7 linked regions of the Macaca fascicularis genome follow. The protein of the gene in region 5 binds, or shares a complex with, the protein of the main gene of each other region. Links are inferred from orthologs where the notes say so. Each region holds a gene or a part of one and is shown on either strand. Other genes may lie near its edges.

Region 1 (4,042 bases), on a different chromosome or scaffold from region 5:
GGAAGTCCTTGTTTCTTTAGCTGGGCTCAGCTTGTCAGGGCTTTCCTAATCCCCTCTACGGTTAAAGTGCTCTCTGTGTTCTTTTTGTTGTTGTTGTTTTTTTTTTTGAGACGGAGTCTCGCTCTGTCGCCTAGGCTGGAGTGCAGTGGCGCGATCTTGGCTCACTGCTAGTAGCTCCGCCTCCTGGGTTCATGCCGTTCTCCTGCCTCAGCCTCCCGAGTAGCTGGGACTACAGGTGCCCGCCACCACGCCCGGCTAATTTTTTGTATTTTCAGTAGAGACGGGGTTTCACCATGTTACCCAAGATGGTCTTGATCTCCTGACCTCGTGATCTGCCCGCCTCAGCCTCCCAAAGTGCTGGGATTACAGGCATGAGCCACTGCACCCGGCCAGTGCTCTCTGTGTTTTGAGTTGTCTTCCTTAGAGATGCCTGAGTTTATTACGTTTAGCAGAAGCCCTTCTAGCTGACTCCCTGAATAGATGACCTTGTTTAAGGAAGAAATGTGTTCATGGTAAGCACAGTGCTGGTCAGGAAGGATCTGTGGGGATACTGCATTTTTATTTAGGGTCTGCTTGGTCCTCCTCTTCCCAGTTTTGTTTTGCTTTTTTGAGATGGAATTTCGCTCTTTTTGCCCTGACTGGAGTGCAATGGAGCGATCTCGGCTTACTGCAACCTCTGCCCCCGCCGGGTGATTCTCCTGCCTCAGCCTCCCGAGAGGCTGGAATTACAGGCACTCACCACCATGCCCAGCTAATTTTGTATTTTTAGTAGAGACGGGGTTTCACCGTGTTGGCCTGGCAGGTCTCAAACTCCTGACCTCAAATGATCCACCCGCCTTGGCCTCCCAAAGTGCTAGGATTGTGGACATGAACCACCACACCCAGACCCTGCCTCCCAGTTTTGTAGCTCAGGCTAATGAGCCTGTGTTTCTTCCTGAAACCAATATGGCTAATTTTTATCTTTCTGCTTAATGAGATCCATTTTGCTTTTATTGTCCTAAACCTTTTGACCATTTTCTCTTTTTCTTTTCTTTTTTTTTCTTTTTTTTTTTGAGATGGAGTTTTGCTGTCGTTGTCCAGGCTGGAGTGCAGTGGTGCCATTTTGGCTCACTGCAACTTCTGCCTCCTGGGTTCAAGTGATTTTCTCTTGCCTCAGCCTCCCGAGCAGCAGGGATTACAGGCACCTGCCACCACGCCTGGCTAATTTTTGTATTTTTGGTAGAGAGGGGGTTTCACCATGTTGGCCAGGCTGGTCTTGAACTCCTGACCTCAGGTGATCCTCCCGCCTCGGCCTCCCAAAGTGCTGGGATCACAGGCATGAGCCACCTCGCCTGGCCGACCATTTTCCATCATAACAGTATATTTACTTTTTAAAAAAAATTTTGGCTGGGCACGGTGGCTCAGGCATGAGAATTGCTTGAAGCCTGGAGGCAGAGGTTGCAGTGAGCTGAAATCATGCCGCTGCACTCCAGCCTGGGGGATGGAGCAAGACTCTGTCTCCAAAAATAAAAAAAAATTTCAATAAGTTTTTGTGGAACAGGTGGTTTTTGGTTACATGAATAAGTTATTTAGTGGTGATTTCTGAGATTTTGGTCACTCATCGCCCGAGCAGTGTATACTGTACCCGATGTGTAGTCTTTTATCCCTCACCCCTCCTCACACTCTTTCCCCCAAGTCCCCAAAGGTCGTTGTATCATTCTTACTCCTTTGCGTCCTCACAGCTCCCTATATTTACTTTTATGTACAATTATATGGTTTTATTATGGGAAAACATCAAATTTTAAGATAATTTTCATATTATTTTAGTGTGGAGTTGAGAGATGGGAGAACTGTGTTTCCTAGGTAGTTATTTGTGCTTCAGCCAAAATGGATGATTAAGGAAAGGGTATTTGGATTTTACCTTTCTACTCTATGAATTTAAGTATTGTCACAGCATAATTAGAGTAACAAAAGGAAATTGTTGAGTAAGTTGATAGAGATTTGAATACCTGTGGGTTTTTTTTTTGTTTTGTTTTAACCTTCTTTGTGGTATCCACATCAGCAAAGTGTCTGTAGAACTGTAGGTCATATGAAACTCAATATTAATGATATTTCTGTAATGTGAGCCTGGGTAGGATTCTCCAAGGGTCGATTTACTTTGGCTCTTTAAGGCCATCACAGGCACATCACAAGATTCTGTTAGAACTTTAGTTGGAAGAGCTTGGCTCAAGGGGTCCTACAAAGGGGCTTTGGGTTAATCGGAGTGTTTGATTTTCAGGCTCTATCTAATGTTCCTCCTCTCCGGAACTACTTTCTGGAAGAAGACAATTATAAGAACATTAAGCGTCCTCCAGGGGATATCATGTTCTTGTTGGTCCAGCGTTTTGGAGAGCTGATGAGAAAGCTTTGGAACCCTCGAAATTTCAAAGCACATGTGTCTCCCCATGAGATGCTTCAGGCGGTTGTACTTTGCAGTAAGAAGACTTTTCAGATCACCAAACAAGGTAAGAACAAGTCATTTATGTTTCAGGACAACAAAACTAGTTTGATGAACAAATTTATTTCTACTTGGCAGTGAATTTTTTTTAAATTAATTAATTTTATTTTATTTTTTTGAGATGGAGTCTCACTCTGTCACCCAGACTGGAGTACAATGGCATGGTCTCGGCTCACTGCAGCCTCCGCCTCCAGGGTTCAAGTGATTCTCCCACCTCAGCCTCCCGAGTAGCTGGGACTACAGGCACGTGCCACCATGCCCGGCTTATTTTTGTATTTTTAGCAGAGACGGGGTTTCACTATGTTGGCCAGGCTGATCTCGAACTCCTGACCTCGTGATCCACCCTACTCGACCTCCCAAGTTCTGGGATTACAGGCATGAGCCACTGCGCCTGGCCTTTTTTTGTTTTGTTTTGTTTTGTTTTTTTAAGAGACAGAGTCTTGCTCTTTTGACTAGGCTGGAGTACAGTGGTGGGATTTGTAGCTCACTGCAGCCTTGAACTTCTGGACTGAAGGGATCCTCTTGCCTCAGCTTCAGGTAGCTGTGATTATAGGCGTGAGCCACTGTACCCAGCTGCAGTGAATCTTGAGAGTAGCCAGGAGTGTCCAGTGGATTGTGTGGTTAGGTTCCTCATTCTCCTCTGACCAGTCTGCCCTGCTAAGAGTCCCAGGAGATTGTAGCTGAATAGAAAGTCGGTCTTATTTGGTAAATTAAACTGTATGGCTTAGGGGAATACCAGGAGACTGGGAAAGACACTAGCTTTTATTAAACACCTGTCACCTATCCTCATTTTTTCATGTCCCGCATTAGGATATTCTGATGATTTTTTTTTTTTTTTTTTTTTGAGACCGAGTCTTACTCCATTGCCCAGGCTGGAGTGCAGTGTTATGATCTGTGCTCACTGCAACCTCTGCCTCCCGGGTTCAAGGGATTCTCCTGCCTCAGCCTCCCAAGTAGTTGGGATTACAGATGCCCGCCAACGTGCCAAGCTAATTTTTGTATTTTTAGTAGAGAGGGGGTTTCACCATGTTGGCCAGGCTGGTCTTGAACTCCTGACCTCAAGTGATTCACCCACTTTGGCCTCCCAGAGTGCTGGGATTATGGGTGTGAGCCACTGCACCCAGCCTCTGATGAACTATTTTGACTGTTTTTATCTCTCCAGACCCAATGTGTTATTGCCTTATGAGTAAGGCGGACAGTGTAACTTTGTACCTGAATCTCATATCATATCGTCTAGCATCCATATTAGTTTGTTCAACATTCACTCATGGTGCTAGGTTTTAGAGCAGCAGGGATAAAATACAAGATTTTTCTCTTTGAAGAACTCACAGTCTAGTGGGGAAATAAAGTTATGTAGAAAGATTGAGTGTGCTGGCACAAGCCTGTGGTCTGAGCTGCTTGGGAGGCTGAGGCAGGTTGCGTGAGCCCAGGAGTTCAAGGCTACAGTGAGCTATGATCACACCACTGCACTCCAGCTGGGTAACGGAGGAAGACCCTGTCTTTAAAAATAAGTAAGCAGGCTGGGCGCGGTAGCTCACGCCTGTAATCCCAGCACTTTGGGAGGCC
Region 2 (3,216 bases), on a different chromosome or scaffold from region 5:
AAAAAGAAAAAGTCTCAGGCCGGGCATGGTGGTTCACGCCTGTAATCCAGCACTTTGGGAGGCCAAGGCGGGCGGATCACGAGGTCAGGAATTTGAGACCAACCTGGCCAACATGGTGAAACCCCGTCTCTACTAAAAATACAAAAATTAGCTGGCCGTGGTGGCCGGTGCCTGTAATTGCAGCTACTTGGGAGGCTGAGGCAGGAGAATCGCTTGAATCCGGGAGGCGGAGGTTACAGTGAGCCGAGGTCACACCATTGCACTCCAGCCTGGGCGACAGTGCGAGACTGTTTCTCAAAAACAAAAGGTCTCTTCCTATTCTCTCTGATCTCTTCAGACCAGTCTTTATAGGTAATTGCTATTAATAGTTTTTCTTCTGAAGGAGCAATAAAAAAAAAAAAATTAAAAAAAAGGTTTTCATGTATCCTTCTGCCTTATCCCAGATTCTTCAATTTATGCATACAAATTAGATGATAATAACCATAGTATTTGTTTCTCTGTTTAATAAGTTCCCACCTGCATATTATCTTTTTTTTAAATCAATTTTTTTTTTTTTTGAGACGGAGTCTCGCTGTGTCTCCCAGGCTGGAGTGCAGTGGTGTGATCTCGGCTCACTGCAAGCTCCGCCTCCCGGGTTCATGCCATTCTCCCGCCTCAGCCTCCGAGTAGCTGGGACTACAGGCACCCGCCACAACGCCCGGCTAGTTTTTTGTATTTTTAGTAGAGACGGGGTTTCACCATGTTAGCCAGGATGGTCTCGATCTCCTGACCTCGTGATCCACCCGCCTCGGCCTCCCAAGTGCTGGGATTACAGGCTTGAGCCACTGTGCCCGGCCAATTTTTTTTTTTTTTTTTAGAGACAGGGTCTTGCTCTGTTGCCCAGGCTGGCGTGCAGCGGTGCAGTCATAGCTCACTGCAGCCTTGAACTCCTAGGGACAAGCAATTCTCCAGTCTCAGCTTCTCAAGTATCTGAGACCTCAGGTCCACACCACTGTGCCTGGCTAATTTTTAGAAATGCAGTCTCACTATGTTGCCTAGGCTTGTCTCGAACTCTTAGCCTTGACTGATCCTCCCATCTCAGCCTCCCAGAGTGCTGGGATTATAGGCATGAGCTACTGCGCCCATATCTTCACATATCTCAGCCCCCTCATCTCTTTTCAATTTTCTTCTATTTATCTCCGAAGAGTACTTACTGAAAAAGTCGCGGCTTCTTAGAGAACCAGTATTAATGTTGTAGGAATTTAGTTTTCAGGAATTGTCTTTCATATTCAGAAATAAGCCAAGTTCTGCTCCAGCCTCCTTATTGGAGTCTACTCCCTGAAAGCCTCTTGAGGTAGTGCTTTATGACTGCCATTGCTGCTGGTGCCTTTGGCAAGAATGCCGTTCTACCCAGTACTGTCTTTTTTTGTTGTAATTCTCTGCTGGTACCTGCTCTTCTTCTGTTCCCCACCCGGAGTTGTTCTTTGTTGCTGGGCCCCAAAGCCTTCTGCTTGTATAAATAGTTTTTTGGGCCTTTTTGAAGGCCCAAATTTAGTCCTGAAGGCCTGGTGGGAGATAAGTTTATCTCATTCCACCTTCCATAGTTCTTCCTGACTTGCTGTTCCACCCAGGCACCAGAGCAAAGAATTCCTCATCCTCATTTCAAAAATCTAAAAACCTTATACATATGAATTCATAAAAACTCATACAAATATCCAAGGAAATGGAGGTCACAGTTTTTTTTTTTTAACCATAAAATCACGTTCAGCTGGGCACATGTCTCACAAATGTTACTAGGTCTTTTTTTTTTTTTTTTTTTTTGAGACGGAGTCTCGCTCTGTCGCCCAGGCTGGAGTGCAGTGGCCGGATCTCAGCTCACTGCAAGCTCCGCCTCCCGGGTTCACGCCATTCTCTTGCCTCAGCCCCCCGAGTAGCTGGGACTACAGGCGCCCGCCACCTCGCCCGGCTAGTTTTTTTTGTATTTTTTAGTAGAGACGGAGTTTCACCGGGTTAGCCAGGATGGTCTCGATCTCCTGACCTCATGATCCACCCGTGTCGGCCTCCCAAAGTGCTGGGATTACAGGCTTGAGCCACCACGCCCGGCCTACTAGGTCTTATAAAAGAATATTATATCTGATTTAAATAAGAAATTGAAGTGTTTTTATTACATATCTCTTTCCTAGGGTACAGCCAAAGACCGGAGCTTTGGAGAGATGAAGTTTAAACAGTGTCCTACAGAGAACATGGCTCGTGAGCATTTCAAAAAGCATGGGGCTGAACACTACTGGGACCTTGCGCTGAGTGAATCTGTGTTAGAGTCCACTGATTGAGACTACTGCAAGCCCTTGCCTCTCCCCCCCTTGCCTTTGTCTCTTCAGTCCTCTCACTTATTCTATTTCCCAACCCACTCCCACTTGTTGTGTGATCTCAGAACTGTGCCAAGCAGACACTGGGACAAAGGGAGAATATCTTGCTCCCCTCCCGAGTCAGCCTGGTGTTGCCCTTTATTCCCCTTATGTGCATATGATTAAAGAGTTATTTTTAAACTTGGTGTGATATTTTTCACACATTCCTAAGTACTAGAGTTTGGGTCTCCAGGTGATCTTTTTTCCAGACTTTTAGCAATTGCTGTAGAAAAAAAATTTTTTGTCATTGACATTTATTTATATATATAAATGGATGAATGGATGGATGGATAGATGGATGTGTATTTTTGAAGTCTAGTGGAAATGTCTGATCTCATCCTGGAGCTAGAATGAGAAATACTGTTTTCCTGGAGCAGAATGAAGCAGGGAGATGTGTAAAGTGGTAAGGGAGAGAGGAGGGACAAATGAGTATCCATCCCTTAACTGAGAGAATCACCAGGTCAGACAGATTACCTCAGGACTTGGCTAAGTAGTCTTTCCAGGAAATCAGTTCCTCTAAGGGGTGCATATGTGGGAATGTGTGTTGTGGGTAAAAAGGACACAGGGAGAGTCCAAGGAGGATGCTATGGGTCAGTTTGTAAAGTGGAATAGGATTTAAGAATTTAGCCCATTTTGTCTCTTTTACTAGTTTAAAAATTCACTTCTAGTAGAAATTGTGTAATTTTTTTTTTCTATCTATGAATCCGACTACCTGTGGTTGGTTTTATTTCAGCATTTAATGTTTCTGGTTTGATTTTAGGAGTATATGAGTCAGCATAAGTTATCTATTGAAGTCCAAAATTTTTACCATACCTATCCTTCTGTTTCATAT
Region 3 (3,098 bases), on a different chromosome or scaffold from region 5:
ATGACAATATAGAGGGTTTAATGACTGCATAGGAATCTCTTGTGTGGCTGTACCATAGTTTGTTTTTACTTTTAACCAGTTTCCTGTTAATGGACATTTAGGTGTTGACCAGTTTTTTGCCACTGTAAACAACTCTTTTACTTTGACATATATTGTGAACAGTTGACCAAGCATCTCTTTAGAATCAATTCCCTGAGCTAGGATTTACAAGTCAGAGAGTATTCCATGGCCCTGCTTCAGAGAACCTGGGTTTATCCTTCATGTTCTCACCAACTCTTGTATTAGCTTTTTTTCATCTTTTCCAGTCTAATCGGCAACAAGTAATATCTCATTCTACATATATTTTATTTGTTTACTAGTGAGATTCAGCAGTCTTTCACATGGATAGTAACCATAATTTTTTTTCCTCTTATGAATGTCTGTTTGTGGCCTTTATACGATTAAAACAAAATGTTCTATACTATTAGATAGCCTTACTAAAAGAACGTGCTTATTTTGTGGTTTACAAAACACCAAAAAAAAAAAAAACCCAAAACAAAACACAACATACAAGAAAAACCTCCAACTCTCTGTAGCAGTTTCTGTGTAAGAAAATGTCTTGTTTTGGTTATGTATAGGAGGTTATCTCATGGAGAAGGAAACGGTTATATTTCTAACCCCCTGGGCAGTTTTTTTTGTTTGTTTGTTTTTTGTTTTGTTTTTTGTTTTTTGCCTTTGCTGTGAGAACAGATACTTTAATTAGAAGTGAACTTTTTTTTTTTCTTTTTTTTTTTGAGACCAAGTCTCACTCTGTCACCCAGGCTGGAGTACAGTGGCTCAGTCTTGGCTCACTGCAGCCTCTGCCTCCCAAGTTCAAATGATTCTTCTGCCTCAGCCTCCCGAGTGGCTAGTGTTACAGGCACCCGCCACCACGCCCGACTAATGTTTGTATTTTTAGTAGAGACGGGGTTTCGCCATGTTAGCCAGGCTGATCTTGAACTCCTGACCTCAAGTGATCTGCCTGCCTCTGTGTCCCAAAGTACTGGGATTACAGGCGTGAGCCACTGTGCCCAGCCTGGACATTTCATTTTGAAATTCTTTTCATTAGTTTTCGAACAGGTTTGCATATTGTGCCTCAGAAGTTTCTTGCTCATTTATAATTGTGGCTTATATGTAAAATAATACAGCAGGAAATGAGCTAAAGTTATAGCTTAAGCTTTCTTTGGCTAGGAAATAATTTTATTATTCACAGTCCATTCTGGTTCTTTGAGAGTTTACCGCTTTTAGCAGAATTCTGGTAGATTAATGTCTTATGCTGTCATTACACACACAATTTTGAAAGGAAACTTTTTTGTTTAGAGGATAATGGGGGCAGAGGCAGAGAGTGAGGAGCATATTAATGAAGTTAAGACATCAAATGAGAAACTTATAGACTCGACTAATTGAATCTAGTATTTGTTTTTACTTAAATTTTTTTTTCTAGAAAATACCACTTGAAATTAGAGACAGAGTTAGAGGCTTGCAGATTTTCATCTTTTGAAAAAGATCATTAGGTCAAATTTTACAAAATTTATACCATCTTAACACAATTAAAGATTCACTCAAACTGTTTCCTTGAAAGCTCCCTCAAATGTTTTTGGCCATTTTCTCTATTAGTTTTGATTGGAAAATATTATAGCTGTAACAAAACAGAACAAGATGTGTTATAATGCAATATGTTGCCCTATATTCTCAAGCTGCTCTTCACTGTGAGTCACAGCTTTAAGATGTTCTTTCGGGAGCACCTGCTGTCTCCTCTTCTATTATTTTAACAGATTGTGGAGACTTCCTTTTAACCCTGGAGTACATTCATCTGCTGCAATAGATGTTGTAAAAGGATGAAATAAATCTGCCAGACCCGTATTTCACTTAGTGGCTGAAGTAGGAAATGCCACTGGAACCAAGGATCATTTGTTCATGCATAATTGCCCACCTTGTGCTTAGCTTTCACAGAATGGTATTTTTGTTGGATTAGTCTTATTCTCTTACTTTTTTGAATGCTTTAAAAGTTGCTATGTGGTCATACATACCGTGAGGGAAGTGACAGTTTGTTGTTTTACTGGGTAGTAGTGGGTGCGTGACTGCCTTCCTAGTCTTCATTCAGATTGGCCTAGAGTTGTTTTGTGCTTAAGCTGTTGAGTTTCATTTAGGGTATGAATTTTTTTATTAAGCATCTAAGAGCTAATGAATAAAGAGATTGTCTGCTCTAAGGTATACCCTGTAATTTTCAACTCCTACTTGCCTTGTATTTCTTCTTTTTGACTAAATATGTCTACAGGGGTCCTGGCTTGCTTGGATGGCTACATGAATATAGCCCTGGAGCAGACAGAAGAATATGTAAATGGACAACTGAAGAATAAGTATGGGGATGCATTTATCCGAGGAAACAATGGTAACATTTCTTCACCCTACAGTACAGCATTCATTCAAAATAAGCCTTTCTGTTTATAATCCAGATCACCAAAGAGTTTACTAGATAATTTAAAAGTCCAGTTTTAGGCTTGATTATTTTAAAATGCTTATATGTCAGTTTGACCAGTTATTTTTTTAGATACATCATGGAATTTTTAAACTAAAATTCCCTCCTTCCCTTCCTTTAGTGATGAGGAACTGGGGGCATTGTTCTCCTGACCCGGAACCCTGCTCTCTTGAATATAGTGTATTATTATCTCCCCAACACATATTCCTGCTTCTTGTAGCCTGGAAGTTGCAGCTGTAAGAATGGGCACCATTTCCCTGCTGTCTTTAATTTGCATAATTTGGCAGTTTGTCCTATTTGTCCCTTCTCTATTAAACATTCAGATGCTTTCTGTGCAGATTTGCATCCTTTGATTTGGCAAAAATGGCAAAATAGAAAAAATAAAGTTACTCAGTTTTTTAACAACTAATAAATTGCTATGATTTTTATAGTTATTTTTAAGTACCTAGTTTCAAAATGAAAATTATGATAAAGTCACATTTGTATTTTTGGTGGGGAGGGAAAAATAACAGAATTACGAGAATTACCCTACTTCTTGGTTCCATCTCCCAAATGAAACTCTGGGATTCTTGAGTTCAGATTTTTTGTTGATTTCTTTAAT
Region 4 (4,588 bases), about 59 Mb from region 5:
TGCGGTTCGCAGAAAGCTTCTGAGGGGGCCCTCCAGCCTTGCAGAGACCACGGGCATTTCAGGGTAAGAGAAAAGACTAGACAACGAAGCTCCTGCAATGAGCTGCAGGCTTCCCTGGCGCCAGGTCACAACTGGACGGCACGTTCATCCAGATGCGACATGGACTGACATACTTTGAAAGGGTCACTCCTGCTGTGTCGAGGATGGACTAGGGATGTGGGGGACAAAGGCAGCCACAGCAGGGGGATGGCGGTGGGGCTGGAAGAGTGGAGACTAAGAAGGAGCCCAGTGGCAGCGACGCCTTAAGAGAACTCTGAGAGAGGAGTGAAGGTTAAGGGCCGCATTTGTGAGGCTGCTCCGGGTTCCATTCCCTGAGCCACCAAACTCAGGTAAGAGGTAAGATTTGGAATTAAGAAAATAAAAGATGCAGTTACGACAGTGCCATCTCGTAGACTGTCCCCGCTAGAACCTGACACTCTACATCAAAGGATACACAATGAATATAAGGAAGGCGTGCTGTCCCTAGGCGCTGGTCACCCTGGGTAGCATCTCCAGAATCCACACCATAGTCGACCCCCCTTCTCCAGACGAGCAACTGACGCTCAAAGCAGGGAATTCCCTCGTCCAAGGTCACGGAGTAAAAGATGGAGCGGGAATACGACCCCAGTGCAGGGCTGGGCTCTTGGCCGCTCCAGGATGCTGGCCAGTCACTGGGGGACACGCGGGACGCCTCTGGGTTCCCCCACCGCACCCCCTAGGGTGAGGTTAGCTTAGCACCGGGCCATTCCGCCTAAAGGGAAACTGAGGCTCGGAGCGGGGTGGGCGGCCGCCTGCCCAAGGCCACAGAGCGGGAGAGAGGCGTCCCCCGCGGCGGCTGGAGACCCCGAAACGGACAAGCAGAACAGGGAGATGGAGGGGGCACAAACTTCAGGCCCGGTGGGAAGTGAGGGGCGCTGCAGCGGCGGAGGGCCTCCGAGGCGGGGAAGGGAGAGAAGCCGGGGACAGCCCCGCAAGGTCACGGCCGGGCCCCGGCACCGCCGGCCGACAACGAGGGGACCGCGGATCCCCGAGGCTGGACCCCCAAGACGGGCCAAGAGGGGTCGTTCCTGCGCGTAGCCTCGGGGCCGAGAGGCCGAAGGGCCGCAGCCTGCGGTGCCGTCGGGACCGGTGCCGCGCTCACCTGGGCCGCGAGGAGCAGAAAGGCCGCCACAAGCCGCGCCAGCGCAGCCGCCGCCACCGCCGCCATCTCGGCCGGTGCCCGCCGCAACCGTCGGCAGATGTTTCCCAGCAACGCCCCGAGACCCCGGGCCACGCATGCGCCGCGCATGCGCGTGGGGGGGAGGGGAGAGGTCACAGGGCACGGGGCGGTGTCTGCGAAGAGCCTCACGGCGCGACAAGATGGCGGTGAGCGCGCGGCAGAATCCGGAGCCGGGGGGCGTGGGGCTCGGGCCGCGCTCCAGGCCTCATGCGCTCTGCTTTCCCCGCAGGATAAGGAGAAGAAGAAAAAGGAGAGCATCTTGGACTTGTCCAAGTACATCGACAAGACGATCCGGGTGAAGTTTCAGGGAGGACGCGAAGGTGAGGCGGCTCCCGCCGTTGGCACCCCCCCTTTAAAATTTTAAAATAAAGTCAGCAACAGAGGTGATGAGGATGCATGCAGAGGCGCCTCTTTTATTTATTTTTATTTATGTATTTATTTTGAGACGCAGTCTCGCTCCGTCGCCCAGTCTGGAGTGCAAGTGGTGCGATCTCAGCTCACTGCAACCTCCGCCTCCCGGGTTCAAGCGATTCTCCTGCCTCAGCCTCCTGCGTGGCTGGGGCTACAGGCGCCACCACTCCTGGCTAATTTTTGTATTTCTAGTAGAGACGGGGTTTCACCATGTTGGCCAGGCTGGTCTCAAGCTTCTGACCTCAAGTGATTCGCCCGTCTCGGCCTCCCAAAGTGCTGGGATGACAGGCGTGAGCCGCCGCAGAGGCGCCTCTTTACACGCTTGACGCCGACTACCTTGTGCAGGCTTCCGAATTACGCCGGGAGGTAGGAACTGGTATGGCCATGTTGCAGGCGGGGAAACTGGGGCAAGGAGCGGGAAACAAACGTAATCCAAAGTCACAGTGGCGCAGCCGGTATTGGGATTTCCGGCTTGGCCTCCAGAGCAGTCCTGTGTGTCCAAGGACTGCCCCAGATCCCCACAGATCTCCCGGCTTCTCCTCTTCCTCCCTCTAAGTCAAGGTCTTTCCCGCACAGCAGTGTGGACACATTTGGGGCCGGATTCTCTGGAGTGGGGCCGTCCTGGGGCACTGCAGGGTGCTGAGCAGCATCCCTGGCCTCCACCAAGTTGTGACAACCTAAATAGCCTCAGACATTGCTTAGTGTTCTCTGGGGATAGGATCGCCCCCCGACCCCCAAGCTGTGATTGGGAATCACAGCTACTAAGGTCAGTCTCCACTCAGCGGCCAGAGGCACCTAATGAAAAAGAAATGGAGGCTTCTTGCTCCCTGCTGAAAACCTCTGAGGCTCCCGGTTGTTTTGGAGTAAAATCCGAATCCATACTTCTGATTATGACTGCAAAGGGCGGCAGAAGCACAAGTTCCACAGGTGCTTGCTCTGGGAAGCCCTCCCTGACCCTGGCGTCAGGCCCCCCATCGTTCTAGGATCCTGGTAGCACCTGTCACCGTTTGCGGTTTCGTGCATGTTAACCTGATGCTTGCCTCTGCCTGCAACTCTTCCATGGAATCTAGTGAAGACAGGGCGAGCTCTCAGAGGGCAGGAAGCATTCGCATGGGCAGTGGGCTGGTGATGCATGCTGCAGCTCTTGGCGGGACGCAGGGACTCACGCCTGTAACCCCAGCACTTTGGGAGGCTGAGGCAGGCGGATCATATGATCAGGAGATCGAGACCAGCCTGACCAACATGGGGTTTCGTGAAACCCCATCTCTACGAAAAATACAAAAAAATTAGCTGGGCGTGGTGGTGCACACCTGTAATCCCAACAACTCAGGAGGCTGAGGCAGGAGAATCTCTTGAACCCAGGAGGCAGAGGTTGCAGTGAGCTGAGATCGCGCCACTGCACTCCAGTCTGGGAGACAGAGCGAGACTCCGTCTAAAAATAAATAAATCACACACACGCACACACACAGCAGAGAAAGGGTTTGCTCCCTGAAGGACTCACCTGATATGGTCAGGCTCACCCAGGGTGTTTCCCTCTAGATTGGCTCAAAGTCAGCTGGTTCAGGGGCTTAAACAGCTGCATAACCTAAGTGCAGGAGTGACGTCATGTCCCCTCAGAGTCACAGGCCCGAGCCCACACCCCGGGGAGGGGAACCTTGGTTAGAGACCTACCTACCTCAGTGCTCACATCTGTCCCTGTGAGGAGGGCTGGCTCACTGGTCAGGCTGGTGCCAAGGACCTGAACCGTTGCGTCTGACCCCATCTCATAGGTGACAGGTTTCATTTTGCAGGGGAGGGACTTGAGCGCAGAGAGAGGGAGCCGTGGAGGTAGGAGCTAAAGCCTGTATGCAGGTGGGCAGACCTTCTCTGTAGAAGGCCAGACAGCAAATATCTTCAGCTTTGCAGCCCAGATGGTCTCTTGTCACAACCAGTGAGCTATGCCCGCAGAGCAGGAGAGCCGCCCTGGTCAGTGCCTGAGCGGGCGAGTGTGCTGGTGGGCCAGTGAAACTTTGGCATACAGAGATGAGCGGTGGGCCACTTTCGCCTCTGGTCGTAGTTCGCAGCGCAGAACGGCCATGGACAGGCTCACAGCCCTGCCTTGGGAGAAGATAGGCGGGCAGAATAATGCCTGGGGTGCCTGCTTCCTGAGATTGGTGGGGGGCATGCAGAGGGCAGCACCCTAAGGGGTGTGGGTTGGTGTCTGGAGGAAGCACCTGAAAGATGACAGGGGTAAGAAGGAGGGTAGGGAGCGGGTGGCTGAGGGACGCCCCTCAGTGAGCGCAGAGGCGGAACCGCTCCTGGGCCTGGGCTGGAGGAGCCTGGGGGGAGAGGACGGGAGTCCCGGACAGGGAGGGTGGGCTGGCCTCTGCTGAGGACACACAGCTCCCCCTTCATCCTTCTCAGTGTCACCAGACACTGCGGAGCAGGATCAGATGGCAGAGGTCACCACCGGGTCAGAGAGCCCTAACCCAAGGTGCCAAGTTGTGACCTAAGGCGGCGAGGCTTGGGGGGTGGGGCAGGCAGCGTGGAGAGAGAAGCCACAGCAACCGCCTCAGCCCCCAAAGCCTTTGCACCCGGGTCTCAGAGCATCTCTCTTGCCCGCTCCCCGCAAGCCCTGAGCTGCAGGGCTGGGATTTGTTCTTCTGTATTCCGTGAACTCACTGAGGGACCTAGCACAGGTCAGGCAGCGCAGTCACCACCGCTGTCCCAGCAGAGCACTCCGTCTCCCCTAGAGGAAGCCCTGTCCCCATCAGCTGTCACTGCCTGTCGCCTCCCCGGCACCCACACATCCCCTCCCTGTCTCTGTGGATTGGCCTGTCCTGGACCTTTCATAGAAACGGGATTACACGCTGCGCGGCCTTCTGTGGCTGGCGTCTCTCACCGAGCGTGGCGCCCTCAGGCGCGTCCTCAGGCACATCC
Region 5 (4,042 bases):
CCAGTTACTCAGGAGGCTGAGGCAGGAGAATCGCTTGAACCAGCGAGGCAGAGGTTACAGTGAACTGAGATTGCACCACTGCACTCCAGTCTGGGTGACAGAGCGAGACTCCATCTAAAAGAAAAAAACAAAACAAAACAAAACAAAATAAAAAAACAGTGCAGGTTTATTATCTGTGGTCCTGTAGGTCAGGAGTCTAAAATAAGTTTCACTAAGTTGAAGTCAGGGTGTCAGCCCGGAGGGTTCCTTCTAGGGGAGTCAAGGGATAATCCATTCCCTTGTCTTTCCAGCTTCTAGGGGTCACTGGCACCCCTTAGCTCGTGGCCCTCCCTCTGTGTGCGGAGCCAGCTGCATAGCACCCTCAGAGCTCTCTCTGACCCTGCTTCTGTCTCATATCTGGCCTCTGTTTTTGTTCCCCCCTCTATGTTAAGGGCCCTTGTGGCTATACTGAGCCTACTCAGATGGTCCAGGATAGTCTTCCCAGCTCACAATCCTTAATATCCTTCTTAATCTCTTCACGTCCCTTTTGCCCTGTGAGGTGACATTCAGAGGTTCTGGGAATTAGAACATGGACCTCCTTGGGCATGTGTGTGTTGGTGGGGGTATAATTTGTCTTCCGCACCAGGATCTGTCCCCGCTGCAACAGGGGATGTTATTCAAGTAATTATTCAGTTACTTTCTGTCTTCCTTGGTAGACGTACTCGGGAGAGGAGACACATTTTCTGTCTTGTGAACTGTCGTTTGCCAAGCACCCAGCCTGGCCTGGCGTTCAAGTGTTCCGTGTCCCCCTCTTCTCCTTTCCCTCTCCCCATCTCACCCCTGGTCTGGGTGTGGGGGTGCAGCTGTGAGTAGCACAGACAGGAGCCCTGCCCCGTGGCAGGGACATTCTTGTTGGGGCCGGGTCGAGGAGACAGTCAACAGGTGAAATCTGTCCTGCGTCTAGCGGTGCTAAGTCAACACTAAGAAGAAAAAGAAAGGGGGTTGGGGTGGGGGCGACATTAGGTGCTGATTTACCTGGGATGTCAGGGAGGACTTAGAGCCCTGAGGAGGTGAGGGTTTAACTGGGACGTCAGGGAAGACCCAGGGCTCTGAGGAGCTGAGGGTTTAACCCAGACCTGAGTGAAGCCAAGGAGCAAGGCACATGGATACTCGGGAGAAGAGTCTTCCAAGCAGGGGGAATGACCGATGCAAAGGCCCTGAGGCTAGAGCGCAGCGAGCCCTGGAGGAGAGAGGGGAGGCCCTGGCGGAATCCAGGCGCAGGCAGCATGGAGGCTGCGCATCCCGGGGCGAACGTTGGCTGCAGTGGAGGGGCTGAAGGGGGCCAATTTGGTATTGGTTCTGAAGGAGTCGTCCCCGGGGACCTGCGGCGTGGGAGAGAAACAGTGGAGTCAGCTGCCCGGCTCTCGGGCATTGCCGTTTGCTTGTACCGGGAGAAGGAAGGCAGATGGTGGAAGGCTGGGGAGGAGGACCAGAAATTCTGTTTAGCCCTGTTATACCTTTGAAGGGCCTGTTAACGATCCCAATGTCAAGGAGACAGTTGTTTACAGGGTACAGAACCCAGAGGAAGGCTGGGCATGATGGCTCACGCCTGTAATCCCAGCACTTTGGGAGGCCGAAGCGGGCAGATCACGAGGTCAGGAGTTAGAGACCAGCCTGGCCAACATGGTAAAATCCCGTCTCTACTGAAAATACAAAAAATTAGCCGGGCGTGGTGGTGGGTGCCTGTAGTCCCAGCTACTCGAGAGGCTGAGGCAGGAGAATCCCTCGAACCCAGGAGGCGGAGCTTGCAGTGAGCGGAGACCATGCCACTGCACTCCAGCCTGGGCGACAGAACAAGACTGTATCTTAAAAAAAAAAATCCCAGAGGAGAGGTATGAGCCGAGATGAGGCCATCCGGTTGTTGACAGAACTGAAAACCCAGAGCCCCGGAGCAGGGACGGAGCCCTGGCGTGGGCGGTCTGTCTGCCCCGGAGCGGGGAGGGAGCACTGGCGTGGGCGGTCTGTCTGCTCGGGGGACAGGCGGACGGGGGACAGGCGGACGGCGGACAGAGGAGCCCTGGCGTGGGCAGTCTGTCTGCTCGGTGGACAGGCGGACGGCTGACAGAGGAGGTCTGGGTGGGCGGCGCACGTGAGCAGCTGCAGGACCTCCCCCTCGCCCTCCCCAGGTGGGCTACGAACTGAAGGATGAGATCGAGCGCAAATTTGACAAGTGGCAGGAGCCCCCCCCCGTGAAGCAGGTGAAGCCACTGCCTGCGCCCCTGGATGGGCAGCGGAAGAAGCGAGGCGGCCGCAGGTGAGAGGCCCGGGGGTCCAGTAGGCGTGGGGGTCATGGAGAGGAGAGGCCAGCGTCCTCCTCCCAGCTGACTCCCTGGCACCGCCCGCCCATCCGTCCCCAGGTACCGCAAGATGAAGGAGCGGCTGGGGCTGACAGAGATCCGGAAGCAGGCCAACCGGATGAGTTTCGGAGAGGTCAGACTCCCCCAGCGCCCTCCTCACCCCCACAGGCAGCCAGCCGCCACCGCCCTCTGCCTCCTGCCACCGTCCCTCCTCTCGTCCTGTGGCCCTGGCTCATGTCTAGGGTGCTGTACCAGCCTCTTCCCTCATCCCCCAGCCTCTACTCTCATTTCCATCCATTCAGCCCCAAAGTGACCCTTGTAACCCTGGGAGCCTGTGTCTCCCGCGCTTAGAGCCCTGCAGCTTCCCATCGCCCCGGGCTCCTTGGCTGGTTCCTCCCTGCCCAGAGGCTCCGCAGTGCCCTGCTGCACCGCCGCCCGCTCCCGGGCCCCGCCAGTCTCCTCTGTTATCCCAACGTCATCCGCTTGGTCCTGCAAGACCCAACTCAGAGGCCACCTCATCCTATGAAACCTGTTCTGGTTCCTGACACCCCCCAATCCACACGAGGAAGGAAGGAATGGCCTCTCGACTCAGCTCACAGAGCAGTGCTAGGACCCAGCCCCTCTCAGGCTCCCCAGCATCCCCCGCTTGTGGGGGCCCTCAGGCCTCAGCCGGGCCAAGTGGGTACCTGAGCAGGTGCCCGTGGGACCAGCCGGCTGGTGACTGCTAGGCTTCCAGCTGGTCGAGGGGGTGCCTCAGTGGCTGGAGGGCAGGGCCTGGTCACTGAATTGCAGGGTGCCTCCCCTTCCTCCTAGATTGAGGAGGACGCCTACCAGGAGGACCTGGGATTCAGCCTGGGCCACCTGGGCAAGTCGGGCAGTGGGCGCGTGCGGCAGACGCAGGTCAACGAGGCCACCAAGGCGAGGATCTCCAAGACGCTGCAGGTATGGGCCAGACCTGGGTGGGGCTGGGGACCGAGACACAGGGTGGGGGGAGCCCAGATCGCAGCCTCCCTGTCCTCCCCACAGCGGACCCTGCAGAAGCAGAGCGTTGTGTACGGCGGGAAGTCCACCATCCGCGACCGCTCCTCGGGCACGGCCTCCAGCGTGGCCTTCACCCCACTCCAGGTACCTGCCCTGGGCCGGCTCTGTCCCCAGCCCCAACACCTTGGCAAGGCCCCTTGCCCTCTGCCCCTGTGAAGCCGGCCAGGATGAGTCCCCTCACGGGGCTGTCGTGGAGGGCGTGGTGACGAGGTATTCAGAGGACGTAGACAGCTCCTGGCACACAGGAAGAAGTTAGCAGAGACGAGACGCCAGTGCTGAGCAGTCCTCATGAGCACGGACCGCTTTAGAACCAGGCCCACAGCTGTGTCCAGGGCATCCAGTTCCTCTCTGTGGGGCTGTGAGCTGGTTACACTGCTCAGCCTCCAGGCCTTCCAGTTGAAAATGGCCAGGGCGGTTAAGGTAACCTCAGGACCCCACTCGAGAAAGTTCCCGGCTAGGTGAGCTTGGATGTCACGTGTGGGTCCAGGCCCCAGCCAGTCAGCAGTGAGTGGCGTCGAGCATGGCAGTCACCGCATCGTCGGAGCCTCGGTTTACCATCCACAGAGCAGGGCGAGCCTGCACGTGGGGCCGAGACAGCAGCGAGCTCATTTGCTCAGTCCGCGGATGTCTGTGGAGCACCTACTGAGTTCCATCGGTGTTCCCAG
Region 6 (4,042 bases), on a different chromosome or scaffold from region 5:
CTCCTTTGACCTTTCCTAGCCCTCGAGCATGTTCCAAACTCGGTTCGCTTGTGGAAAGCAGCTGTTGAGCTGGAAGAGCCTGAAGATGCCAGAATCATGCTGAGTCGGGCTGTGGAGTGCTGCCCCACCAGTGTGGAGGTGAGTCTGGCGGACTCAGGGCCACCAGAGCCCAGAGTGGCCAAGGCCCGAGCCCAGGTTCTGTGTCTGGAAGTGATGATGTAAGTGGAGCATTGAGCTCACTCAGGCTGCGCTTTCTGGGAGCAGAAGGCCGTCCGGAGCCCCAGGATACCGTTCTGTGCACAGCTGCCAGGCAGGGTGGTGAGAGGCTTCCGCTAGTTTTGCTGTTAATGGAAGTGCAGAGAGAATCTTAGCTCGTACCTGACCACTGCAGAAAGTTCTCTCAGGCGCCATTTCCTCTCCTTCAGCCCAGAGTTTGTCATGGGAGCCGAAGGTGGGAGGGTGATAGAAAACACTGCTTTCTGCCAGCCCCGCGTGACTGCTCTTTGCCTCCAAGCTAAGTGGGATTTCTTTGGTTTTAGGCATTCCAGTTCACAGCATTCTGTGCAGTGATTTTTAGTCTTGGTTTTATGATACCTAGTATGTCTTCAATTATCCTAAGGGGTATTGTGAAATTCTCCAAACAACATTAATCTTGTTTTATTTACATAAAAATGAATAAAGCCCATACACATCTTAGGGATGGAGTGCTGCAGAGCCAAGAGTCTGGGAACTCCAGGAGGCTGAACACCCTTCCGTGTGTTTAGCCCATGAGGGCAGTAGCCTCATCCTGCCCATCTGTGCCAGCCCCTGGTATCAGGTCTGGCGCTCTGTGTGCCTGGAGGCAGTGTTTGTTTGTGGAGGCAGTGTTTGTGGAGGCAGTGTTTGTGGAGGCATGTTTGTGGAGTCAGTGTTTGTTTGTGGAGGCAGTGTTTGTTTGTGGAGGCAGTGTTTGTGGAGGCATGTTTGTGGAGTCAGTGTTTGTTTGTGGAGGCAGTGTTTGTTTGTGGAGGCAGTGTTTGTGGAGGCATGTTTGTGGAGTCAGTGTTTGTTTGTGGAGGCAGTGTTTGTTTGTGGAAGCAGTGTTTGTTTGTGGAGGCAGTGTTTGTGGAGGCATGTTTGTGGAGGCAGTGTTTGTTTGTGGAGGCAGTGTTTGTGGAGGCAGTGTTTGTTTGTGGAAGCAGTGTTTGTGGAGACATGTTTGTTTGTGGAGACATGTTTGTTTGTGGAGACATGTTTTTTTGTTTGTTTGTGAACATTCCACTGAGAATCTTTTCCTGCTCACCAGAGTCACTAAGTCAGTCAGAAGCATCAGTGAGCAGTTGGTCAGGTGAGATGTGCTGCTGTGGACGCTTCTCAGGCCGTGTTCAAATGGCTCTCGAGAGCTAAGAAAGAGCGTTGTGGCCGTGCTGCAGGGTGGGTCGCTGTCTGGCCTGCATCTGTCCCCTCAGCACAGTGTCCTCTCCTTTTTCTGGTGTCCTCTCCGCGTAGCTCTGGCTTGCTCTGGCAAGGCTGGAGACCTATGAAAATGCCCGCAAGGTCTTGAACAAGGCGCGAGAGAACATTCCTACAGACCGGCACATCTGGATCACGGCCGCTAAGCTGGAGGAAGCCAATGGGAACACACAGATGGTGGAGAAGATCATTGACCGAGCCATCACCTCGCTGCGGGCCAACGGTGTGGAGATCAACCGCGAGCAGTGGATCCAGGTGGGCCGCAGGCGGGTGTCGTGGTGTCGGCTTTAACAGTGTACGTGCCGCACGTGGGAGTCCCACGCAGGACTGGGGGCTGCTGAATGGTGCTGGGGAGTCCTGCGCCCAACCGGAAGCAGGCACAGGTGTGGCTGGGCCCTGAGCGACCTGGGCAAGGCCACTGTCACTCTTGATGGATTCAGGCCTTGAGTTCGTCTTGGGGTGAATGCTTCGGAAGCCCTTTCAGTGTGTGCACACCTGACTGCATTTCTTTGCTAGTAGAAATGATACATCTGAGAGTCTCATGGCTTCTTCCACTCTTCCCCTCTCCCCCACACCCTTTTTTTTTGAGATCGAGTCTCGCTCGTCACCCAGGCTGGAGTGCAGTGGCCACCTTGGCTCACTGCAAGCTCCGCCTCCCGGGTTCACACCATTCTCCTGCCTCAGCCTCCCGAGTAGCTGGGACTACAGGTGTCTGCCACCATGCCTGGCTAATTTTTTGTATTTTTAGTAGAGATGGGGTTTCACCGTATTAGCCAGGATGGTCTTGATCTCCTGACCTCGTGATCCGCCCACCTTGGCCTCCCAGAGTGCTGGGATTACAGGCCTGAGCCACCGCACCGGGCCAACACCCTTTTTTTTTTTTTTTTTTTGAGAGGGAGTCTCGCTCTGTCACCCAGGCTAGAGTGCAGTGGCGTGATCTTGGCTCACTGCAACCTCCACCTCCTGGGTTCAATTCTCCTACCTCAGCCACCTGAGTAGCTGGGATTATAGGCACCTGCCACCATGCCCAGCTAATTTTTGTATTTTTAGTAGAGACAAGGTTTCACCATGTTGGCCAGGTTTGTCTCGAACTCCTAACCTCAAGCAATCTGCCCGCCTTGGTTTTCCCTGTCTTTTAACTGTGTCTCTAGACTTAAGGCTATAGAAAAGTCTCCAGAGGTCATCTAACTCAGGAAGTAAGACTTGGGTTCCCTTTATTACCTTCTTTTTAGGAGTCACCCTCTGAGTTATGTTTCTCTCCAGAAAAATAAATAATGAAATTATTATTTCTGTTTTATTTTATGACAGTCCTTCCTTCCTCCTTCCCTTCCTTCCTTCCTTCATTCCTTTCCTTCTTTTTTTTTTTTTTTTTTTAGTTCTTTTTTTTTTTTTTTAAGGAGACAGGGTCTTGCCGTGTTGCTCAGGCCGGAGTGCAGTGGTGCATTCATGGCTCACTGCATCCTTGATCTCCTGGGCTCAAGCGATCTTCCCGCCTTAACCTCTCAAGTGGCTGGAACTACAGGCATGTGCTACCATGCTTGGCCAATTTTTTAATTTTTATTTTTTGTCTTGTTATGCTGCCCAGGCTGGTCTTAAACTCCTGGCCTTCAGGGATCCTACCACTTCAGTCTCCTAAAGTGTTGAGATTACGGGCATCAGCTGCCATGCCCAGCCTGTGACAGTTTATTAAGCTATGATTAGCGTTCTATAGAATCCACCCATTGAAAGTTTACAATTCAGTGGTGTTTAGTATATTCACAGAGCTGTCCATCTGTCACCACAATCTTAGAACGTTCTCATCACCCCAGAAAGAAGTCCTGTGTCCGTGAGTTGTTGCTCCCCGTTTACTCACTTCTGTAGCCTTTTGTTTGTTTGTTTGTTTTCTGAGACAGGGTCTGTCTGTCTCCCAGGCTGGAGTGTGTGGGACAATCAGTCTTGGCTCTCTGCCACATTTGCTTCCTGGGCTCAAGCAGTTCTGCCTCAGCCTCCTGAGTAGTTGGGACTACAGGTGTGCACCACCACACTTGGCTAATTTTTTTCTGTCTTTTGTAGAGACGTGGTTTCGCCATGTTGTTCGGGCTGGTCTCAAACTCCTGAGCTCAGATGATCCACCTGCCTCGGCCTCCCAAAGTGCTGGGATTACAAGTGTGAGCCACTGTGCCTGTCTAACCTTGCTTTTTTACTTTGTCTATACGTTTTGTTTCTGGACATTTTATATACAGATGTTCAACTTATGGGCTTATATCCTGATAAACCCATTGTAAGTTGAAAATATCGTAAGTCTAAAATGCGTTTGAGGCTGGGTGCTGTGGCTCACACCTATAATCTTAGCACATTGCAGGGCTGAGGCAGGCGGATCACTTGAGGTCAGGAGTTTGAGACCAGCCTGGCCAACATGGTGAAAGCCTGTCTCTACTAAAAATACAAAAAAATTAGCCAGGCATGATGGTGGGCACCTGTAATCCCAGCTACTCAGGAGGCTGAGGCAGGAGAATCGCTTGAACTCGGCGGACGCAGAGGTTGCAGTAAGCCGAGATCGTAACACTGTACTCCAGCCTAGGCGACAGAGCTAGACTGTCTCAAAAAATAA
Region 7 (4,042 bases), on a different chromosome or scaffold from region 5:
CCCGTCACAGCTGCTGCCGTTAGGTAATCGCCGTCCTTTGGGGAGCAGGAACCGGGAGCTGAAGTTCAGGATTAGGGGCCGAGGGGCTGTTCCGAGGCAGGCCCTGGCCGAGTGTGGGGAAATGTATAGGACCAAATGCGGTTCGACTCTCGGCTCCAAGTCTTCAAGGCAGCAGGCCGCCCCTGCTCTTTAACGTGGTCGGGCTCCTCCGGGCAAGGATTTCTGACTCCTCAAAGCAGACTGTCACTGGAGAAGGTCCACATTTAGTGAACGTGTTGTCGGCCTCCTTTGTTGTGAGCCCGCCTCTGCAGTGTGATAGGTAGTAGGCCAACTTCTCAACCTGGCTTTTAAGATCCCCAGATTAGATAGACCATGTTATGTATATGGTTGACACTAACACCCTGGTCCGGAATGAGCCTTAAATGAGGAATCTGGAAACTAGCTCTGTTTGTTATTTATTCATTCAATAAGTAGTAACTGAGTATCTATACACGAGATACCGTGCCTGGGCATTTTTCAACGATAAACTTAAACCATAGCCATTGCCTTCAAATAGCACACAAGCCAGTGGAGGAGAGAATACTGGACAAGTAGACATCCTGCTACATAATGCTAGGCTGGCAAAAGAGATGTTCAAGCTGCCGTCAGAGCACAGAGGATAGACAGAGTTGGGGGAGGGAAGCAGTGACAGAGTTTCCGGTGAATATAATTATACCTATCTCCTCTTATGTTTTTGTAGCTGGTGAAGAGTGATTGAACTAGTGGTCGTGGCCGTGATTGAAAAGTTTTCATTCCTTCATGCCACAGACTCTTTTGGAATCCTCATTACGCGCCAGATGCTGTGCTTAAACTGAGATTTGTATTATAAGACCTAAAGTTATTGAATGAATGTTTTTCCTGGTTTTTCTTTCACTATATGCAAGTAAGAGTGCCAGTAGGCACTCAAATATTTGTTGAAATAATGAATGGTAAAATAATATTTTTTCCCTCCTCAGAACTTGTGGACAAATGTATAGGATCAAGAATTCACATTGTGATGAAGAGTGATAAGGAAATTGTTGGTACTCTTCTAGGATTTGATGACTTTGTCAGTATCCTTTTAAAAGGTGGTGGTGGTGGTATAGGTTTTTCTTAAGTATTTAATAACGTAAGAACTATAGACAATCAGTATATTTGTGATTATTATAATAAAATCAGTTCATTTTCAGGGAACTTATGATAATGTTTTAAGAGGTATGTATTGAAAGACGGTAAAGTTCCTATCAACAACAAACATTTTGAATTTGAGCCGTTGTGTTAAACATTATAATTAAAACTGAACAAGCGAGCCCAGTGGCTTACACCTGTAATCCCAGCGCTTTGGGAGGGCAAGGTGGGTGGATCGCTTGAGCCCAGGAGTTTGAGACCAGCCTGGGCAACATGATGAAACCCTGTCTCCACAAACATTACAAAAATTAGCTGGGCATGGTGACGTACACCTGTGGGCCCAGCTAATCTCTGGGACCGAGGCAGGAGGATCCTTTAAGCCCAAAAGGTGGAGGCTGCAGTGAGGTGTGAGTGTACCACTGCACTTAAGCTGGGATAACACAGCGAGACTTTGTCTCAAAAGAAAAGAAAAGAAAAGCTGAACAAAGGCAGAAGCTGGAGTAAATTCTCTATTTGTTTTCTTAACACCAAATTTCAGATATGGTACTGGAAGATGTCACTGAGTTGTGAGTAGTGTTAAAGAATTGGGGGGGAATCTCTTCTTAATTAAAGACAGTTTTACTACTTTTGAGTAAAATTATTTATGAGAAAACATTACCTGTTGGTAGAATAACCTTAAAGATAGAAGTTTTATCTGTTTGCTTGTAAAATTGGATCAGTGTTATTACCTTAATTTAATTATTAGTAAACTCCTAGACAATTAGTGGAGACAGTTTTAAGGTAGAAGATAAAAGAGCTAGGAATTTTAGGGTTCAGGTCAAATCAAGGAACTGATAGTAAGAGCATTTAGACTGGACATGGTGGCTCACCCCTGTAATCCCAGCATTTTGGAAGGCCTAATGAGGAGGATAGAGCCTGGGAGTTTGAGACCAGCCTGGCCAACAAAGGGAGACCCCTGTCTCTATAAAAAATTTAAAAATTAGCTGGGTATGGTGGGGGGCAGCTGTGGTCCTAGCTGCTCTGGAGGGTGAGGATCCCGTGAACCAGGAGTTCTAGGCTGCAGTGAGCTATGATTGTACCACTGTACTCAGCCTGGGCAATAGAGCAAGACCCTGTCTCTTAAAAAAAAAACAAAACCCAAAAAACATTTCATTTCATATTTGATTTCTTGGGCAAGCTTTGGCTTCTTTTTATGAAGCTCTGTCTGACAGATGTGGATCTTAGGTCAGTGAGTTCATTCTGTTGCTTTTAATGAAGGTTACATTACCTAGTGGATAACCTTTGTAACTGAAAATTGTCGATATAATTGCCCAACCTCAGAGTAATTTGTATACAAGGATCACCTTTTTAGGGAGGGAAAGTATTTCCAAAATGTTGGCTTTGATTTTCACTGTTTATCCTGACTGTATTTTATCTATTCATTTAGTGAAATCACACCAGAAGGAAGAAGGATTACTAAATTAGATCAGATTTTGCTAAATGGAAATAATATAACAATGGTAAGACACATTGAAACTGTTTTGTTTAGATGGGAGCCCATTTTTCTGGGGCAGTGATTATAGAACTAACCTTAATGTTGCTTGCTTAACTAAATGATCATGGCCCAGTGGTGCGTAAGATGGGAAGGGTGTTCTCTGTGGTCAGGGCCCTAAAGCTCAGCTATTGAAGAGGCATTGGGTCTAAAGGTTAGTTTGCTTCGAATTTTTAATCGCTGTTGAGATAGTAAGTATTAATTGATGATGTTGGAAATTGTGAATAGATATTGACAATCTGGAGAAAATGGGAATGTGGAGCGCAGAGGACAGGCAAAGGTGGCTTAAGGAAGAGCAAGGGATTTTTAGATGACATGGTTGTTGTGTTACTAATAAACTCTTTTTCCTCTTTATGCAGCTGGTTCCTGGAGGAGAAGGACCTGAAGTGTGAATGAGTTTTCTTGACTTAGCTAGATTCTGTTTTGTCTTTTAATGACAAGAAAATGGAATTTTTTTCCCCCACCTTCTAATGTTTAAATCCCGTAAAGCTAAGTTTCCCGTTAAAGGGAAGTGCTTTGAAGATGTGTACCCATTTTTGTAAGTTAATCATGATTATCCTGGAAAAAGAAGAAAAGAGCTTCTTCTTTGAAGACGAAAATAAAGGTGTTTTTGGTTAATTGTCATTTTATTTATTGTACTGCAGTAGCCAGTGGAACAAAGATTGTGGTTATTTTGCCACTTACTTTTCTGTCATTATATGCTTATTTGCTTTCTCATTTACATGACCATTTGATTCTCAAACAAAAGTCGTTCCAGACAAAATGATGAACTTTGATTTGAACAGGTGCATTTAAACAACTGGAAATGATCACTTAGAAAATTAAATTAAAATGCTGTTGTTTTGTAATGAGGATTTTTCTACTGATTTCAAATTCCATGAACAACTATTGAAAACAAACAATATACAGGTAATATATGCACATTGTAGAAATGCGGGAATTATCTATTGGAATTTCCCTAAAGATACAAATTTTATCTATTTGTTTATAAAATTGGTTCAGAGGGTTATTACCTTAATGTAATTATTACTGAATTGCCAGGAAATTAGTGGAGACAGAGCTTTAAGGTAAAGGATACTAAAAACAGCTAAGAACTCTGGGACTCAGGTAAAATCAAGGAACTGATAATAAGATCATAGAACTGTATAAATTAAGTCAAAGAACTATTAAAAACAAACAGGTAATATACACACATCGTAGGATTATAAGTAAGCAAAAAGGAGAAGGTTGATCATGCTTTGCTGTATGTCTTCATAGACTTTCTCAGTCCACTCTCAGTACACATTTTATTTTACTTGTTCATCCTGATTTTTTATTCTCCACTTAAGCCATTTTTTGAATTTAAATGGTGAATATCTTTCCATG

The links.
Region 1: PRPF31 (region 5) and USP39 share a complex: the UniProt entries of both Homo sapiens proteins name them as parts of the U4/U6-U5 tri-snRNP complex. The link is inferred for Macaca fascicularis from reciprocal best matches to the Homo sapiens genes PRPF31 and USP39.
Region 2: PRPF31 (region 5) and PRPF3 share a complex: the UniProt entries of both Homo sapiens proteins name them as parts of the U4/U6-U5 tri-snRNP complex. The link is inferred for Macaca fascicularis from reciprocal best matches to the Homo sapiens genes PRPF31 and PRPF3.
Region 3: PRPF31 (region 5) and LSM6 share a complex: the UniProt entries of both Homo sapiens proteins name them as parts of the U4/U6-U5 tri-snRNP complex. The link is inferred for Macaca fascicularis from reciprocal best matches to the Homo sapiens genes PRPF31 and LSM6.
Region 4: PRPF31 (region 5) and LSM7 share a complex: the UniProt entries of both Homo sapiens proteins name them as parts of the U4/U6-U5 tri-snRNP complex. The link is inferred for Macaca fascicularis from reciprocal best matches to the Homo sapiens genes PRPF31 and LSM7.
Region 6: PRPF31 (region 5) and PRPF6 share a complex: the UniProt entries of both Homo sapiens proteins name them as parts of the U4/U6-U5 tri-snRNP complex. The link is inferred for Macaca fascicularis from reciprocal best matches to the Homo sapiens genes PRPF31 and PRPF6.
Region 7: PRPF31 (region 5) and LSM5 share a complex: the UniProt entries of both Homo sapiens proteins name them as parts of the U4/U6-U5 tri-snRNP complex. The link is inferred for Macaca fascicularis from reciprocal best matches to the Homo sapiens genes PRPF31 and LSM5.

The regions. Positions count from the first base shown.
Region 1 is NC_088387.1:35,956,161-35,960,202, reverse strand, and holds part of USP39 (ubiquitin carboxyl-terminal hydrolase 39), read left to right. Parts: intron 1-2,257; coding exon 2,258-2,483; intron 2,484-4,042.
Region 2 is NC_088375.1:110,908,555-110,911,770, reverse strand, and holds the end of PRPF3 (U4/U6 small nuclear ribonucleoprotein Prp3), read left to right. Parts: intron 1-2,162; coding exon 2,163-2,309; 3' UTR 2,310-2,525; downstream 2,526-3,216. UniProt on the Homo sapiens protein: Plays a role in pre-mRNA splicing as component of the U4/U6-U5 tri-snRNP complex that is involved in spliceosome assembly, and as component of the precatalytic spliceosome (spliceosome B complex).
Region 3 is NC_088379.1:151,041,227-151,044,324, forward strand, and holds part of LSM6 (U6 snRNA-associated Sm-like protein LSm6), read left to right. Parts: intron 1-2,296; coding exon 2,297-2,410; intron 2,411-3,098. UniProt on the Homo sapiens protein: Plays a role in pre-mRNA splicing as component of the U4/U6-U5 tri-snRNP complex that is involved in spliceosome assembly, and as component of the precatalytic spliceosome (spliceosome B complex).
Region 4 is NC_088393.1:2,987,718-2,992,305, reverse strand, and holds the start of LSM7 (U6 snRNA-associated Sm-like protein LSm7), read left to right. Parts: upstream 1-1,366; 5' UTR 1,367-1,398; coding exon 1,399-1,404; intron 1,405-1,487; coding exon 1,488-1,578; intron 1,579-4,588. Other genes in the region: SPPL2B (signal peptide peptidase-like 2B), read right to left, coding at 1,181-1,246. UniProt on the Homo sapiens protein: Plays a role in pre-mRNA splicing as component of the U4/U6-U5 tri-snRNP complex that is involved in spliceosome assembly, and as component of the precatalytic spliceosome (spliceosome B complex).
Region 5 is NC_088393.1:61,930,263-61,934,304, forward strand, and holds part of PRPF31 (U4/U6 small nuclear ribonucleoprotein Prp31), read left to right. Parts: exon of another isoform or gene 1-114; intron 115-701; exon of another isoform or gene 702-959; intron 960-1,115; exon of another isoform or gene 1,116-1,366; intron 1,367-2,165; coding exon 2,166-2,293; intron 2,294-2,396; coding exon 2,397-2,469; intron 2,470-3,149; coding exon 3,150-3,278; intron 3,279-3,362; coding exon 3,363-3,461; intron 3,462-4,042. UniProt on the Homo sapiens protein: Involved in pre-mRNA splicing as component of the spliceosome. Required for the assembly of the U4/U5/U6 tri-snRNP complex, one of the building blocks of the spliceosome.
Region 6 is NC_088384.1:120,149,133-120,153,174, forward strand, and holds part of PRPF6 (pre-mRNA-processing factor 6), read left to right. Parts: intron 1-19; coding exon 20-138; intron 139-1,488; coding exon 1,489-1,707; intron 1,708-4,042. UniProt on the Homo sapiens protein: Involved in pre-mRNA splicing as component of the U4/U6-U5 tri-snRNP complex, one of the building blocks of the spliceosome.
Region 7 is NC_088377.1:97,819,853-97,823,894, forward strand, and holds the end of LSM5 (U6 snRNA-associated Sm-like protein LSm5), read left to right. Parts: coding exon of another isoform or gene 1-23; exon of another isoform or gene 24-319; intron 320-739; exon of another isoform or gene 740-916; coding exon of another isoform or gene 917-995; coding exon 996-1,091; intron 1,092-1,684; coding exon 1,685-1,712; intron 1,713-2,572; coding exon 2,573-2,645; intron 2,646-3,036; coding exon 3,037-3,069; 3' UTR 3,070-3,525; downstream 3,526-4,042. UniProt on the Homo sapiens protein: Plays a role in pre-mRNA splicing as component of the U4/U6-U5 tri-snRNP complex that is involved in spliceosome assembly, and as component of the precatalytic spliceosome (spliceosome B complex).